Linked DNA regions of Ovis aries. The protein of the gene in region 1 interacts with the protein of each later gene in a pairwise test. Links are inferred from orthologs where the notes say so. Each region holds a gene or a part of one and is shown on either strand. Other genes may lie near its edges.

Region 1 (3,933 bases):
CTACCTTTCACTTTTTTTTTTTTTTTTTTTTTAGCTGCAGTACACTGCTTCCAGGATCTTAGTTCCCCAACCATGGATCAAATCTGTGCCCCTTGCAGTGGAAGCTCAGAATCCTAACCACCAGACTGCCAGGGAATTTCCAACCTTATACTCTTAAATTTTTACTTTCTCTTTTATTCAGAAAGGCAATAAATACTTTCTGATTACTGTTCAAATTAAGTTTAAATTCAGAGTTCAGGATTTTAATGCCCTTTTACCTGTGAAGCCACCCATTTTTACTTAACTGCCTTGCTCCCTTGTATGCTGTTTTTTAAATGTTTCCTGCTTTGTGCTTACAAATTTGCTAGCTTCCAAAGTAAATACTAACTCCTTCCCACAAGCTCCTCCTTCCTCTCCCATGTTTAACTCTTCTCTTCATTCTCAGTGTTCTGTGTGAAAACTTAATTTTGCAAAACTCAGCTTGATTTATTGCCTATTATACAGTGAACATTTGGGATATGCTTACTGATTAACAAATATTTTTGTGAAATGAAATGTCATGTATTAAGTTACTTAAGTGATCATATTTATGTACTATCATTTCCATTGTGGCTTAAATATATACTTGGAAGGGATGTTATGGTATGGCATGGCAATGGTATGGCAATGAATATAGCAGCATGGCATTCAGTGACTCAGCACCTTAGAATTTCCTCATCTACTGTGATACTATTTTAGTATACTTTGACTTGTTTTCAAAGGAAAATAAGCAAAAATCAGATGATATAAACAGTTGAAATTAGGGCACAAAGTGATATACGAAGGAACTGAGAGGTAAATTCTTCCCTACTGGTATCCTCTGGAAAGTTTCATGCATACTGCAGTTACCAGTCAGTTGTAGTTTATCCAGTGCTAACTATATGATGTAAATTGAACTATTTAGTATAAATTCTGGTGCTGATATAAATTTTATAATTCAGTTGTTGGTGAGACATATTTATGGATCACATATTTAATTTCCCCCCTTTTCAGATTTTGAACTATTATGGAAAAGGAAAAGTGAGAATTACATTAGTAACAAAGAATGACCCATATAAACCTCATCCTCATGATTTAGTAGGAAAAGACTGCAGAGATGGCTACTATGAAGCAGAATTTGGGCAAGAACGCAGACCTTTGTTGTAAGTACATAGTCACAGACATTTTTAGGAATAGTATAAGAATAGGATTCTCCTGTTTCCTATCTATGTACCTCTGTTACTTTTTGGCAGAATAAATCAATTCCTCACTGTACTTCTATTTACTGTAGTATATATTTGCATTCTCTTATCATTTACATTAGAACTACCCTTTCATTTTTTATTAGTAGAAGCCCATGATGGTAGTAGGAGTACTTCTTTATTGTAACTAAAAGTAAACATAAACTTATTTTATGCTGCAGTTTTCTTTCTTAGTTTGAACAATTTATGAAAGGATTTCTCTAACGTAAAAATTGTCAGATGTGAAAAAATCACCTGGAAAACTGGGATTTTTATTTGAAAAAGGCAGTATAACATTAACATACAACAATAGCTTTAAAATTTAAAATAGATATATAGTACTTTGTGTGTGAGGCTGCTGGGTTCATTTTCATCCTATTGGTGAAAGTAAATAAATAAAATCTTTCTGGTAGGCACTATAATTTCAGCAAAGCCTGAAATTATATGAATGTCTCTTGAACTAGCAATTCTACTTCTAGGGATTTATCTTGAGGAAATAATCTAATTAAGCATGTTCAGAAACTTAGCTGTAATGATGTTCATTGAAGCTTTGTAATGGCAAAAAGTTAGAAGCAATCCGGATTATAAAACAGAGGGAGATTAGTTAAACTGGTACCTCCATGCAGTGAACTCCTATGTAGCCTTAAAAATAACACTGCAAAAATGTCTTTGTATAGAAAGATGTTCCCAATATTTAGATAAATAAAAGAAGGCTTTACAATGAAGTATGATAAATAATTTAAAAATTTTAAATTTTACATTGGAGTATCATTGATCAACAATGTTGTGTTAGTTTTTCAAAGTAAGTGTGTACATATACATGATAGTTTAAACACTAAGATGTTGATAGCAGCTGTCTCTGGGTAGGAAGAATTGTGGGGTTTTATGTGCTTCTTTTAACTCATATTCATTTTATAATTCTTTTTGTAATGAACATGTATTGCTTGTGAGAAAAAAATGAAACTGATTGCAACAGGAAAAGATTAGTAGCCTCCTTAAATACAAGTAGTAACCATTTAGAAAATATACTTTAGTAACAGCACAAAACATGAACTATCTGGTTGTATAAACTTGGCAAGGAATACTTCCTATTTGTATTATTTCGCCTCCCAATGTTTTACATTGTAGATTATTGACTTATTGAAACATAATTACTCCTTGTTTTCTGAGAACAGACTCTTCTGTTTTACTTCTTATTTCTCTGGCTCTTCTTTGTCAGCCTTCAGTTCAGTTCAGTTCAGTTGCTCAGTCGTATCCAACTCTTTGCGACCCCATGAATCGCAGCACGCCAGGCCTTCCTGTCCATCACCAACTCCTGGAGTTTACCCAAACTCACGTCCAGCGAGTCGGTGATGCCATCCAGCCGTCTCATCCTCTGTCGTCCCCTTCTCCTCCTGCCCCCAATCCCTCCCAGCATCAGGGTCTTTTCCAATGAGTCAGCTCTTTGCATCAGGTGGCCAAAGTATTGGAGTTTCAGCTTCAGCATCAGTCCTTCCAGTGAACACCCAGGACTGATCTTTAGGTATAGGCAGTTAGATTTTTGGACTACCTTATTTATGTCCAGTGATGCCCAATAATGCCTTTACGGCAGCCATGAAATTAAAAGACGCTTACTCCTTGGAAGGAAAGTTATGACCAACCTAGACAGCATGTTAAAAAGCAGAGACATTACTTTGTCAACAAAGGTCCGTCTAGTCAAGGCTGTGGTTTTTCCAGTGGTCATGTATGGATCTGAAAGTTGGACTATAAAGAGGGCTGAGCGCAGAAGACTTGATGCTTTTGAACCGTGGTGTTGGAGAAGACTCTTGAGAGTTCCTTGGACTGCAAGGAGATCCAACCAGTCCATCCTAAGGGAAATCGGTCCTGGGTGTTCATTGGAAGGACTGATGTTAAAGCTGAAACTCCATTATATTGGCCACTTGATGTGAAGAGCTGACTCATTTGAAAAGACCCTGATGTTGGGAAAGATTGAAGGCAGGAGGAGAAGGGGTCAACAGAGGATGAGATGGTTAGATGGCATCACTGACTCAGTGGTGATGAAAACTGTTGGTGATGGACAGGGAGGCCTGGCGTGCTGTGGTTCATGGGGTCACAAAGAGTTGGACACCACTGAGCAACTGAACTGAAGTGAACTGAACCTTGCCCCTCAATCCAAAATCCTGTTAAGGATCATCCATTGTATTTGGGTGTCATGCTTATTTAGTCTCCTTTAACTTAGAATATTTTCTCAACTTGTGTTGGTTTTTCATGACATTAACATTTTTGAAGAATATTATTTGTTTTGAAGAATGTTATTCAACATGGGTTAGTCTGAGTGGTTGCTCATGATTGTGTTCATGTTAACATGAAATATTTTGGATGAGAAATCTACAGAGGTGATGCTGTATTGTTCTCAAAGTAACACTACAGGAGATGGTGATACTAGTTTTTTCCCATTGGTGATATTAATTGGCATTCTACTGTAAAGAAAAACTTAGCCATATTCCCCTGCCTCAGTTGAAAAAATACCAGTATAGACTCATGGATTCTTTTTTTGACAGATAATTTTGTTGATTTATTTTTGTTTGTGCTGGGTCTTCGTTACGCACAGGCTTTCTCTATTTGCAGAGAGCAGGGGCTACTCTCTAGTTGCGATGTGTGGGCATCGCTTGTTGTGGGGCACAGGTTATAGGGTTCACTCGCTTCAGTAGTTGCA
Region 2 (4,545 bases), on another chromosome or scaffold:
CCTTAATCTGTAGAATCCCTGGTTCATTGAGGGATGTAGGCTGGTTCACACATGAGCCTAAAATGCAATTCAGTTTGGATCTCTTAGTGCACTGTACTTTTAACCAAAGACTGCAGGAACCCCTAACTCAGCCCAAGAATCAACTTACAGGATCTCTTTTTGTTTACCAATTAAACAAGTATGTACATGCACCCTCAATGTCAAGGTACTAAGGATTTTTTAAATCTTTTAAATAAATTATGTCCTGAGAGTTTCCCCAGACCAGACCTCCCCCTCCTATACTTCCCCAATCATTCCACTCTTTGAGGTATTTTTAATTTGTTTTGTTTTTCACTGCACTGGGTCTTCATTGCAGTGTCTGGGCCTCTCTTAGCTGCAGTGCACAGGTATGTAGGCTCTCAAGTTCCCTGACCAGGGAGCAAACTTGCGTCTCCTGCATTAGAAGGCAGATTCTTAACCACTGAACTGGCAGGGAAGTCCTTCATTGAGTTTCTTGCTTTTTTTTTTTTCCTCATTGAGTTTTTGGTAACTACTTATTTAATCACCTATCTTTTTCTCTTCTATTCTGCATGCTCCTTGAGGGCAGGAAACATGTCCAAAGTTCACCACACTATCCCCAACACAATATCTGGATTAGGTATTCCATTGTTTAATTCAGTGTATCCTGTACATTCTCTAAGTGTTGACCGTCTAGAAGTCTGATCAAGAAGGCAGACCCGAAGCAGAATCAGCCTTCACATTTTCAAGGCAATAAAGCTTATATAGCTTTTATTTCAACTTGTTTCACTACATGATGTTTTTTCAGTTACAAGAAAAAGTCATTTTAAAGGTTAATATTTTTCATTCCCTCTTCCCTGCTCTCAATGCAAAAATATATTTAATTATAGGGAATGCTTTAGATGTGACTATGGTATTCTCAGGAAGATTTGCAAATGTCAAAAAATCTAGAAGTAAAGTAGCAAAGGGATGATACCTTCATAAATTTAGTTCTGCCAGAGAATCACAATAGAAACAGGATTACTTAATAGATATTTACTGGAGAATTGGGAGGGGGTAGGAAGAAACATACAAAATAATAATCATCCCTGATTCCTTCCAGTCTTTTTTCTAGACATAGTTTTAGTATGTTTTTATGTTGATACATACTATTTCCTGCCTTTTAAATTTTTAAAGAAACTTATTTTGCTGAAAGTGAAGTCGCTCAGTCGTGTCTGACTCTTTGCAACTCCATGGACTGTAGCCCATCAGGCTTCTCCATCCATGGGGTTTTCCACACAAGAATACTAGAGTGGGCTGCCATTTCCTTCTCCAGGGGAATCTTCCCCACCCAGGGATCGAACCCAGGTCTCCCACATTGCAGGCAGATGCTTTACCCTCTGAGCCACCAGAGTGGATTTACAATGTTAATTTCTGCTATATAGCAAAATGACTCAGTTATAAACATATATACATTCTTTTTTGTATTCTTTTCCATTATGGTTTATCACAGGATATTGACTATAGTTCCTTGTGCTATACAGTAGGACCTTATTACCCATGCTATACATGACAGTTTGCACCTGCTAATCTCAAACTCCCAATCATCTCTCCCCCAAACCCCCTCCCTCGTTGCAACCACAAATTCGTTCTCTATGTCTATGAGTCTGTTTCTGTTTGTAGATAAGTTCATTTGTGTCATACTTTAGATTCCACATACACTGTATTATATGGTATGTCTTTCTCTTTCTTACTTCACTTAGTATGATAATCTCTAGGTCCATCCATGTTGCTTCAAATGGTATTATTTCATTCTTTTCTATGTCCTGTCTTTTAAATTTAACAACCCATGTAATTTTGTCTTTAAATGCAAATTTAATGTCATTCTAAAATGCAAACTTATGACTTCAAATGTTTTGTTCTATGGATATACCATAATCTATATTATTCAGCTCTTACTGTTGGACTGAGAATTTTTACTCTTAGGAAATGGATCATATATAAAGAACAGCTTTGTCAAATTATTGTGTTCTGTCTCTGATTTGATTCAGTGATCCCATCTCATCCCTTCTTTCTTCTTTTCCTTCTCCTCCTCCTTCTTCTCCATCTCTTTCCTTTCCTTCCTTTTTTTTTTTAAAACAAATACTTCTCCCAGTTCGCCTCACTAAAATTTGTTAGTAGTGAGCACAATATAAATTCCACACTCACATGACTGTATTAATAAATAATGCATGAAAGTTATGCTCAATAATGAAGTTTTATGACTATACTCTTTTCTTTCTTTTTAAAATTAAACTTTTATTTTTACTAAAGTATTGTTTGTATTGTTAATGTAACATAATTTCATGAGGCTCATAACAAAGAACTGCTGTCCTCACCCCGTCCCCTTTCCACAGGTAATCAGTTTCAATTCTTTTAAATGTTTCTTCCAAAATCTATCTCTATATTTCTTAACAGCATGCTTATATTGCTATATTGAATTTTAGGTAGTATCCAGATGGCACTAGCGGTAAAGAACCTGCCTGCCAATGCGAAGGCACAAGAGACACGGGTTCGATCCCTGGGTCGGGAAGATCCCCTGGAGAAGGAAATGGCAACCCACTCCAGTATTCTTGCCTGGAGAATCCCATGGACAGAGGAAACTGACGGGCTACAGTCCATGGGACCGCAGAGTCCGACACGACTGAAGCGAATGAGCTCTGATATCTCTCGCCTTTAAGACATTCATCCTAGGGCCCTCCGTTCTGCTCTAATCTGCACCTGATACTCTCCAGGTCTGCTTACATATTCAATTCATGAAGACAGACGACACATTTACCAAGTTTTTCTTCTAGACATTAATACTTTCCTCCCCAGGGATCAATGACTGGCATATCTTGCCAAGCATCGCCCACAGCATCTAAGAATGTACGGATTTTGCCATCAGGTAGACGATCCTCTCCCTAACCATGCCCCTCACTAGTGCAAGGCTGATTTTCTTATAAGTACAGAAAATGCATCTTCTGCAGGTCAACGTCTAAAACCTGTCCACCAACCGTAGTGCACCTAGGAGCACTTAACTTCACTTTAAGGCCAGGCAAAGCCTGGCGCTGCAGAAAAAGACGACAGCCACAGCTTCGCAGACGTGACTGTAGGGTGAATTCTCAGGCAGGAGGATCGCATCGGCAAATACCTGGAAGTTGAGGAGAATGCCGGGAGCTCGGCTAGGCGGTTCCCAGGACAGCGTGCGGGGTTCAGGGTCAGACTCGGGGTCCACGGAGCTCTCCCCAGACCAACAGCCCCAGTGCACGTCACTGCGCTTGCGCCACTCCTCGCTCCGCCCCCGACCGTGAGGGCAAGGGGCGGGGCGACGAAGGTGCTGGACGAAGGCCTGCCGCTATCCCGGAACATTTAGGGGCGGGGAGCCGGGAAACTGCAGGATCGCAGGCGTGCGCGAAGCGAATCTTACTTCCGGGTCCCAAACTCCGTGACAGTGCGGAGCGGTGTGAACCTTGTGCACGTTCCTCCGATCGCATTTTATCCCCGCGTGCTCTTCTGGGGCGCGCGTTCTTCTTCGTCCTGGCTGCCCCAGCGGTGGCCGTCAGGGCAGTGGCCTGGCTGCTTCTCTGGGAGGCTGCTGGGTTCACCTGCTCGCCAGCCACAACATTCAACAACACCCACTTCGTCGCCGGTAAGGGGCGGAGCTGGGCCTCGGGAGTGGGGCCGGGTTAAGGTCTGAGAGGGTGGGGAGCACTCGAGATTCCCGAGACCTCTCACTTCCTCCCTTTACAAACGTGCTTCTCGCGACCCTAGAACCGTAGGGTGAGTGAAAGTGAAGTGAAGTCGCTCAGTGGTGTCCGACTCTTTGCGACCCCATGGACTATATCCCACCAGGCTCCTCCGTCCATGGGATTTCCAGGCAAGCATACTGGAGTGGGTTGTCATTTCCTTCTCCAGGGGACCCGCATTGTAGTCAGACGCTTTACCGTCTGAGCCACAGGGAAGTAGGGTGAGTAGCAGGAGATAAACAACAAAGGCTGCAAGTTCCTGCACGTCCCACCGCCCCCGCCTCCATTCTTTGTGACCAGTCCTGGTTCTCTGGAGAGGAAGGCTTGGTCTTTCTGAGGAGGGACTGGCAGCACTATTACTAACACGTTGTGAAGTACAGCCGTGAAGCATTTTGGGGTGCTCTTGGGATGCATGAGGCTTCTGACTACTGCGGGGCCAACAAAGCCTAAGTGCCCTGTGAGGTGTGAGAACCCCAATCTAGAATACCTTCCCTTGGGGAGCGTGGAAAGGGGAGGACGACTAATTTCGTTTTACAAACATGTTTGATAATAAACTGGATTGGGCTAGGGTTTCTTTAAGACTCCGGGCTGGGCGAGCGAGTCGATTCACTTCTTTGTGCTCAAGTTCGGGGGCAGAAGTGCTGTACTGGTGCTGTGAATCCAGCCCTCGTGGAGCTTGCAATGTAGTAGGGGAGATGGGTAAGTGCAGTAGTAGTTACAATAAAGTGATAACGTTTGATAGGGAAAGAAAAGTCAGTACACACACACACCAGGAAAACCAGTACGGAAGCTGTCTTTAAAA
Region 3 (4,696 bases), on another chromosome or scaffold:
CTGACAACAGATGAAGTCATTTTCATGATATTTTGTATTTCACAGAGATTAGGAATTTGTCATTATTGCAGAATATAGGACTTTTAAAATGTGGAAAACACATCAAACAGGTAAACACAGCAATATGAACTCAAGAATTCAGAACCACCCCATCCAACTTTTTAAAACAGTATTTAGAAAATATTTCAGTGACATCTACAGGGAATTATTTTCCGTAATCAGCTTCCTGAATAAAGAAAGAGTCTTTTAATCCTGAGTCCAGCTGTCTATGACTAAGGGTTGAGGCATTTGAACAATTTTTTCCTCAGAGAATCTGGAAAGTCTATGGTTTACTACTGACTTTTCTGCAAACAGCTGGCTCTCAGAAATCTGAATTTGAGGGGTACCCTTTGATCCCAGATGATACCTTTTTGTCAAAAGCCACATGCGCAGGAATAAACGCTGCAGGCGGGGCCTGCCTGGGCTGTCCATACGTGAGGATTGGGATGCTGTTGGCCAGCTCGTCCAGATCAGCCTGGGACAGCTGGTTGACCTGGAGCCTGTTCCCGCCAATCCCAACTGTTGGACGTCGAACAACTGCATAGCCATTCCTATAGCCCAGCGTCTGGCTTCTATGAAATGCTGTTTTCTGAAGGAAAAAAGAAGTGTGTCAAGATATAACAAATATTTGTTAGGTAGAAGAGCTAACTTCCAAAGGTTTCAGATTCAACCTTTACTTATAAACACCCACAAACCCTGTATCAAAAATTTTACCTACATGAGAAGGTTCTTGTATTTTAAGCTAAAACACGTGGCCAGGAACAAGGAGGGAGGCAGCAGCCTGAGCTTAAAATAAAATTTAAAGCCCTGTTACTGAGCATCCAATTTTAATTATCAGCTCACCTACCACAAAAAACCTAAAATATCTTTATGTTGACTCCTAATTTTGTACTATCTTATCTGGTGGTCATAAGTCACGGAACCAAAACAATCCAAATCTGTGAAATGAATTCTTATCTGAAATGAAAGGCCCTCTTGCTACAGTGACACTAATATATTCATTGTAACTCTTTGGAAAGCAAATGGATTTTATGGATTTAAAGTCAAACTAAGTAATTCCACCCTCCATCCTTTAAGGATATAATCCAAAATCATGGGAAAGAACAACATGCCTAAGGCTGACAATTACAATGTTAATCACAATAAACCAAAACACGAGAAGCAATATAAAAGACAAGCAGGAGCAAATGATGGAAAGCTCACTTAATGGGCTATTATGCAGCTATTAAAATACTTGTTTTGAAGACCATGTAGCAATCTGGGGAAAATGTTTATGATTTAATAAACCCAGAAAAGCAGCTTACAAAATTATACACATACTACAATTACAAGCATGCAAACACGTGCACAAAAAGACTGCTTTGGAGAATGTTCTCTGTTTTATACATTTCTAAATTATGTTGTTGTTCTTTTCTACAATCAACACATTTTTTTGATAACTGGAAAAAAACAAAAGATTATATTAAGAAAAAGTGAAAAGGAAATATTTTTGAAGGAAAGAGATCAAAACAGTGGCACAGGGACTCAGCCTCCCCACCACTCCACAAAGATCAACAGTCAGACAGCTATCCACAAATAAGAGCTCTGGAAGAGGTCCATGTAGTAGGTTTCAGCAACACAGTGGGATAAAAAAACCAAGGATATTCGTACAGGAAGAGAAGGAAGACTACCTCATTTTGTCTGCATCATCCCATTCTCCAAACCAGCACTGTTCAGTGCCAGGAGACAACTTCCCCTCAACAGGAAAGGAAGAGCCAAGTGAGCAGTCAGTTTCCAGTCTTTTTACCTTAACTTCATGACCAAGGAGAGGAACTTATTGTTTAAATTGTTAAACTACATAAATGATTATTGTCTCATCTTTGAAAATCAGCCTATTGAATCTTTTTTTTTCTTCTTTTTTTTTTCAGCCTATTGAATCTTAATGCTGACCTTCCAACACATATTTCAGCAACCCTGAAATTTCAGTATTAAAATCATTTTGTCAAGGGCTAAACTGTGTCAGAGAAAAAAAAACCACAAGCCTTTTTTTTTTTCCTCTTCAGTTTTGTCTAGAAGATATAACTAACAACACTTAAGGCAGGAGAGGAGTGAAACAAAATCCAAACAGGAATCTTTTATAAAAATGTTACAAGCGAAAAGAAAAGGGCTAGAGAAGAAAAACCAAGAACACATCAATTGTGGCAGAGGAACTAAAGTGCAATTATCTCCCATAAAGCACCTGAGGATGATTTGGGAGGAAGATGGCCAAGTGTTGAAAATTTAACTTTCCAAGCAAGAGGATTTGGGGAAAAAGATTAAACAAGACTGCAGAAAAAGTCGACGTGCTGGGACAGAAAAGGAGATGGGGCTTGGTAGAAGCATAAATGAGACCGAGGAAAAGGACCTGACAGAAAGAAGCCAACAGATGGAAATGGAGTTGGGACTGGGAGCGATTACTGGGTCTAGGATTCAGAAGAGGAAAATGCGGGCGGCAATGATGGGCTTGGGGAGAGTGAGCGGGATGGGGCTGTGGAAATAAGTACGAAGGCGTATAGAGGTTGCGTTGGGGAAGGGGCCCAGGTTGAGGGAAGAAAAGTTTAAGGATGGAACTGGGCAGAGAGGGGTATGCAGAAGGGAGAATGAGCTAGGGAGAAGGCCGAGGGAGCTCGGGAACCAGGTGGGGAAAGCCAGCAAGAGCAGAGCAGCAAGGAAGAACGCTGGGAGGCCAACAGACTGCCAGGATGGAGTGGAAAAACCAGAGAGGGATGGGCTGAGAGCAAACTGGAGAAAGAGGGTGAGGTTGGGGGGTGGGGAGTGGGGTGGAGGTGGGGTGTGGAGAACAGAGTTGGGGGCAGAGAGAGGGTTTGAAGGGGAAAAGGACAAACTCGCGTGGACGAGCAGAGACGCAACCTGCTGCGAGCTCTCCGGGGCTGCCAGGAGGTGGGGACAGGGGTTTGGCCGGAGAAGTCCTCACCGTTAAGTCCTTAAAGGACGTGCCTGGGAGAAAAGGCAGGCCATGCACTGGGTTAGACACCATAGCGGCCGCTCTCGCCGCAACCACCCGGGTAGGGTTTGGTCCTCTCGGGTTGCCAGGGGAACCAGCGGCGTTCTGGGCGGCCCGGCAGCTCCATGGTAACGCCATACACGCAGAGCACTAGCGGAAGAGGGCGGGGCCTGAGACGCAGGCGTGCCCAGCCCGCGCATGAGCAGCCCGTGGACTAGACGTTCTCGCGGGAGTGTGCCGAGGGGAGCTGGCCCCGCCCCGCGCAGACGTGAGAACACGGGGCGGGACGAGGTGGTTGTGGGATGACGTGATGGATCTCCCCTTGAGGGTCCGGGTTCGGGCGAGTCCTTAGATCAGTTCCAAGGGAAGGGTCCTTCCTTCGCCCCATCCCAGTCCTCACCTCACCTCACCTCGCCCCGCCCGCTCGCTGTTCTCCCACCTGTGGGAAAAAGGCTGTTGTCCCAGTTCACACGGAAGTGTCACTGGTTGGTTCCGGTTGAAAGTGTTACTTCTCCTGAACCCGTGCTTCCCTGGGGCCAGGGACTGAGAATTATTCATGATTGTAATTCTGTTGTTCAAGGATGTTCAATAAACAAAAGCAACTGACTGGTGCCTAATCCTCCAACTACCTCATTCAAGTTTTTTCCTACTTTACCTTTGAAGGAAATGGCAACCCACTCCAGTACTCTTGCCTGGAGAATCTCATGGACAGAGGAGCCTGGCGGGCTACATACAGTCCACGGGGTCGCCAAGAGTCGGACACGACTGAGCGACTAAGCGCAGCACATTCTATTTCTATACCCTCCTTCACAGGCCTTGGGGGGGTCTTACATATTCACCGCAGGATGCTCAGTATTTGTTGACTGGACAGCTACACGGCGCTCCTGTCAATTCTCCGAGTCTCTAGTATCACTACCTACAGTTGCAATAAAAAGATCAGACCCACGAGGGGAAATACATCTGCCAAGAAAAATTTGTCATAGGAGAAAAGCAAATAAGTGCGGTGATAAATTGTCAAAACCGTAGGTACTCTTTTTACAAAACTTGTTTAAATTATTATCCCTTAAAAAATGTAATCCTGTTCTTGAAACATCTTCAAGAAAGAAAAAACAAGCTATCAGAAGCGCTGAAGAGCTTAAAAAGAAAAACAAAACCCAGATGCCTGGACATTGGATTCACTGGGTTTGAAATGGGGCCCAGGCGTCTGATTTTTATAACAGCTGTTTCTGAGAATGAGCCAGTTTAACGGAGTGCAATAGAGTAGCAAGCTTCACGCCAAAGGCATCCATGTCATGGGTGGTTTACTGCCAATACAGACAAAGGCTTTAGTTTTACTGCTGCTTGTCAGAGTAAATCCCCCTGATGGGTTTCACTAACAGGCATAAACCTCAGGGGGCCCAGGACATCAGTCCACTAGTGGCAGTGAAGCAGTTATTGGTGGCTGTCTCCACACCTTGCCCAGAGTTTCTTTTCTGATAACACTTGCTATCCCCTAACTACTTCTATTTCCCATGTTTGTCCCCCACTCCTTTTTTCACCTTTCCAGATTTTTATTTTTTATTGGTGTAGTGCCCTAATGTAGGTGTTTAATACACTTTTTGAATCAATGCATTGTAATGACACTAAAGACTTTACAAGTATCTGACCATTACATTTTATCTTAGCCACTGACCT
Region 4 (4,404 bases), on another chromosome or scaffold:
AAAAAAGACTATTCACTTGCGCTTTACTTTCAAAATGGCTGAGGCAGTCAACCTTCCATACTGTCTCTGAATATTCCTCAAAACTACAGTATAAGACGTTAGTGGCAACAAAATCCTTAGTAAACAATGAGAACTGAAGGAACTTTCACATTATATAAGGAAGTGACTTAAGAGAAAAACTTGATCTCCATTTTCTCAAAGCAATGAACTCATTTGACAGTCTGGATTAGAATTATAGAAATTTTTACATTCCTAACAATTATATATGCCTCAGATTCTGATTCAGATATAGGACCTGGGACTCTATTTTTAAGAAGCTTCCCAGACAATAATCCTAAAATTTAATGTTGAAAATAAAGAAAGAAATCTCATCATTAGAGATACATCCTAAAATGCTTATAGGTAAAGTAATATTTGATATGATGGTCTGGGATTTGCTTAAAAATAATTGGTGGGGGTAGAGTGGATTGGGGTATAGATGATATGAATTCATTCATGATTTGATCATTGTTTAAACTGGATGACAGTTATATAGGATTCATTACACTGCTCTCCTGACTTTGAAACATGGAAAATGTTTCAGATTTTCCATGAAGTGTTTAAATAAATCCCAGTAAGTCTAATGTGCAAATAGGATTGAAAACCACTGAACTAGTCCACTGAAGGGTGGCATTTGAAGCAATATAGGCCCTTCTGCCACTGTTTCTATCATTTACTTGTATGCTTTATTATTTTAGAATTTGAAAGCTACAAACTATTAATATGCCTAGCTTTGGAAGAAAGCCCTTCCACGTATGATATGACATTTCTGTGGTAGGCATCAGTGCAGCTGACAAGGAGAGAGATTGTTTACTCCAAGTTAAATAGTCAGCAAAATCATCAGGAAAAGAGGCAAAACAACTAGAATTACAATTGAAAACTGTTTAAGTGAAACACTGAGGAAAGAAATAGAATAGACTGAGCAACTGTAAACTCTCAGATTTGGAAATGACCTTGGGAATTATTTGAACCAATCTTAGTTCACAAATGGCAAGACTGAGGTAAGGGAAAGAATGATCCAAAATAGGCTCCATTTCAGATAGAGCAACCTGACTTTTATTCAGGACACCGATTACTGCAGCCACAGTTTGACAAGTACACAGTACTTAAATCCTGAGTCATCAGTGTAGGAAATGGATAAAAATACAATCACCTTGAGAAAGCTTTGAAGAAGTAAATTCAGATGGCTGGGGAGATAGCCCAAGAGTTGAGGAAGAAGTCCTGAAGTGGAAGAAGCAAGAAAGGAACAGAGAAGAAACCCCAAGAAATCACCTTCACTTCTCTTTGTGATTATGTTTTCAATTGGGATCCAAGAAAATAAACAGAATCCACATTTCATGTGTTACCAACCCAGCAAAATTACTCTCTATTTACCCTGGTCGTTCAGACGGTAAGGCATCTGCCTGCAATTCAGAAGACCCAGGTTCAATCCCTGGATCGGGAAAATCCCCTGGAAAGGGAATGGCAACCCACTTCAGTATTCTTGTCTGGAGAATCCCATGGATATGGGGTTGCAAAGAGTCGGAGACGACTGAATGACTAACACACACACACACACACACATTTACAAGAGTAAATAAAATAAAACCTCAGATGTGTGGCAAGGGATGAGTGATAACATCAAACACACCCCAATCTCCTCAATCCCTCCATTTTTCTACTTCATCCCAGTCAGACTACCAGGTGGAATTACTGTATTTAATGCAGACAGCTCTAAAAGTGATTAGAAACATTTGGATGTAATTTTATTGCTGTCAGCTCCATCTATCTTTTCTGTAGGGTGAACACAAGTTGCCACTTTCCTGAAAGTCCTAGACTGACAGCCAGGTCTTCAGGGAAACTGTGGGTGGTCCTTTTTCAGTTTGGTAATATTATGAAGTACTACCAGGAAGTGAAGAAATCCTCAACTTATTTGCTCTCCCACTTAAGAAGTAGCTGGACATGAAAAAAAGCACCTCAGCCATAACTATAAAGTATGAGATGAAAACTAAGCAGTCAACCAAATAATGTCCTTTATTGATCCCCAGGACTAGGAAAAAGTATTCATATAAGCAAGGGGTTGCTGCTCACAGTCATGCCAAAGAGGAAGAGGATCTGAAGTGCTGATCTCTTAGAAGGGCAAAAATGAGACTAATACAAAGAAGTAGAAGTGTTCAGGGAAAAGTCACTTACCTACCTTAGGGCAAATGTGAGAAACTGCCGCCTGTGGTCAGCAACTCAGGTAACCTACAGTCTGAAGTTTTTCACAACCTACAAATTCATCAATACTCTAGAAGAGGCATCCAGGAGAACCAAGGGTGGAGGGGGGCGGAGGGGGGGGGGTGTTGGCCTCATCCTAAAAATGTGGCAAACACAGGAGTCCAGTAACAGGAACTCCGCCTCTAGCCTATTTTGAGGCAGCACCGCAAAAAGAATTACCACCCAGTATCTCCGTCCCCAGAAAAAAACCTTTAATTCTAAAAGCCTTAATTCGGGTCAGTGTGGTAAGGAAAAAACAAAAGAGGGAGGAAGAGCCCTGACACCCAGCCTGCTGCAGGACCGCCACCAACTAGGGGCGTGGGGACACTCACCTTGGAGTCCGGCAGGCTGAAGACGCTGGGGTCGTCGGTGCTCCCCACCATGATCTTATGTTCCTTACCCGGAGCATGGCCGCCGGCGCCCTCGGCGCGCGCAGCCTTGGCGCCGTGGCGCTCCCCGGCCACTCGATCGCTGGTGTTTCCCATGGCTGTGCAGCTCGAGTCGGGGGCCACCTGCCGTGGGGAACAGCATGGGGCAAGGGACACCCCGGCAGTCTTGTCAGGGGAGCCCCCGGCCCCGCCCCTGCGTCTGGGGAACCGGGCGAGGGAATCCCCGCCCCAGGGAAGCCGTGCCTGGGGGACCTCTTCCTCCCTGGCCTCCAAGAACACCCGGAACCCCCAAACCCTCTAGAGGCCCGCTGCTCAAGAAACCCCCTTTCGGGAACTCCCCCGCATCCCCCGCGCTCACGGTCCAGGGGCGCCCCCACCCCAATCACCTCCCGCGATGCTCTCCCTCCTCCCGGGATCAATGGTGAGATGGCTGTTCTGCGGATAAAGCCACCAATAAAGTTATCGAAATTGAAGCCTCGCCCCGGGCTAGCGAGCCGGGTTTCCTCCTAAAATGGCTACAAGATCAGTGGCGTGGGGCCCGCCCCGCGCGCGTTCCCTGCGGGCGCGCCGCGACGGCGCCCGGGGCCAGCCGGCCTCTCTAGCCGCCGCCGGCTCGGTGGTGGGCCGCCGCGCGCAGCCTCCAGCGCCAGGCGGGGGCGCCAGTGCCGCAGTCAGCGGAGTGCGGGGCCAGGACCGCTTCCCTGGCAAGCCTGCGCCGGAATCTTAGGTTTATTTTAGTTCAGTTCAGTCGCTCAGTCGTGTCCGACTCTTTGCAACCCCATGGACTGCAGCACGCCAGGCCTCCCTGTCCATCACCAACTCCCGGAGTTTACTCAAACTCATGTCCATTGAGTCTGTGATGCCATCCAACCATCTCATCCTCTGTCGTCCCCTTCTCTCGCCTTCAATCTTTCCCAGCATCAGGCTCGTTTCAATGAGTCAGCTCTTCCCTTCCCATCAGGGGGCCAAAGTATTGGAGTTTCAGCTTCAACATCAGTCCTTTCAATGAACACCCAGGACTGATCTCCTTTAGAATGGACTGGTTGGATCTCCTTGCGGTCCAAGGGACTCTCAAGAGTCTTCTCCAACATCACAGTTCAAAAGCATCAATTCTGCGCTCAGCTCTCTTTGTAGTCCAACTCTCACATCCATATATGACTACTGGAAAAACCATAGCCTTGACTAGACGGACCTTTGTTGGCAAAGTAATGTCTCTGCTTTTTAATATGCTGTCTAGGTTAGTCATAACTTTTCTTCCAAGGAGTAAGCGTCTTTTAATATCATGGTTGCAGTAACCATGCAGTGATTTTGGAGCCCCCAAAAATAAAGTCTGACACTGTTTCCACTGTTTCTCCATCTATTTGCCATGAACTGATGGGACTGGATGCCATGATCTTTGTTTTCTGAATGTTGAGCTTTAAGCCAACTTTTTCACTCTCCTCTTTCACTTTCATCAAGAGGTTGGTTGAGCCCAAAGACCTGCCATGGGGAAAGGATGGTTCCCAAAAGATACTTGGGGTCCCTTCCCGGGCTCTGGTGCACCGTACCAGGAGGAGCTGTGTTGGTTTCTTCTCGGCCTCCTCACCTGGTCTCAAGTTTGCCAAATGTCTTCATTTTGTAGCATCTTTTCGACAAGCTTCCCAGAGAGGTGAGTTCCTGTAAGGAATAAGAAATAAGAATAAGGACTTGCAATTGAAAGCTAAGGAAATAATGGTAATTGCTGGGGGTTAAAACTAAG

Evidence for each region. The genes of interacting proteins can lie anywhere in the genome.
Region 2: the proteins of REL (region 1) and CEP19 interact in binary tests that used the Homo sapiens proteins (3 or more experiments, as listed by UniProt). The two-hybrid records come from large-scale screens. The link is inferred for Ovis aries from reciprocal best matches to the Homo sapiens genes REL and CEP19.
Region 3: the proteins of REL (region 1) and EFHC1 interact in binary tests that used the Homo sapiens proteins (3 or more experiments, as listed by UniProt). The two-hybrid records come from large-scale screens. The link is inferred for Ovis aries from reciprocal best matches to the Homo sapiens genes REL and EFHC1.
Region 4: the proteins of REL (region 1) and PRKAB2 interact in binary tests that used the Homo sapiens proteins (3 or more experiments, as listed by UniProt). The link is inferred for Ovis aries from reciprocal best matches to the Homo sapiens genes REL and PRKAB2.

The regions. Positions count from the first base shown.
Region 1 is NC_056056.1:63,114,930-63,118,862, reverse strand, and holds part of REL (proto-oncogene c-Rel), read left to right. Parts: intron 1-1,011; coding exon 1,012-1,160; intron 1,161-3,933. UniProt on the Homo sapiens protein: Proto-oncogene that may play a role in differentiation and lymphopoiesis.
Region 2 is NC_056054.1:192,038,135-192,042,679, forward strand, and holds the start of CEP19 (centrosomal protein of 19 kDa), read right to left. Parts: upstream 3,195-4,545; 5' UTR 3,149-3,194; intron 206-3,148; coding exon of another isoform or gene 198-205; intron 1-197. Other genes in the region: PIGX (phosphatidylinositol-glycan biosynthesis class X protein), read left to right, coding at 198-205, 3,195-3,646. UniProt on the Homo sapiens protein: Required for ciliation. Recruits the RABL2B GTPase to the ciliary base to initiate ciliation.
Region 3 is NC_056073.1:24,505,671-24,510,366, reverse strand, and holds the start of EFHC1 (EF-hand domain-containing protein 1), read right to left. Parts: upstream 3,195-4,696; 5' UTR 3,161-3,194; coding exon 2,993-3,160; intron 629-2,992; coding exon 407-628; intron 1-406. UniProt on the Homo sapiens protein: Microtubule inner protein (MIP) part of the dynein-decorated doublet microtubules (DMTs) in cilia axoneme, which is required for motile cilia beating.
Region 4 is NC_056054.1:98,150,793-98,155,196, forward strand, and holds the start of PRKAB2 (5'-AMP-activated protein kinase subunit beta-2), read right to left. Parts: upstream 3,195-4,404; 5' UTR 3,053-3,194; intron 2,850-3,052; exon of another isoform or gene 2,790-2,849; 5' UTR 2,763-2,789; coding exon 2,610-2,762; exon of another isoform or gene 1,073-2,609; intron 1-1,072. UniProt on the Homo sapiens protein: Non-catalytic subunit of AMP-activated protein kinase (AMPK), an energy sensor protein kinase that plays a key role in regulating cellular energy metabolism.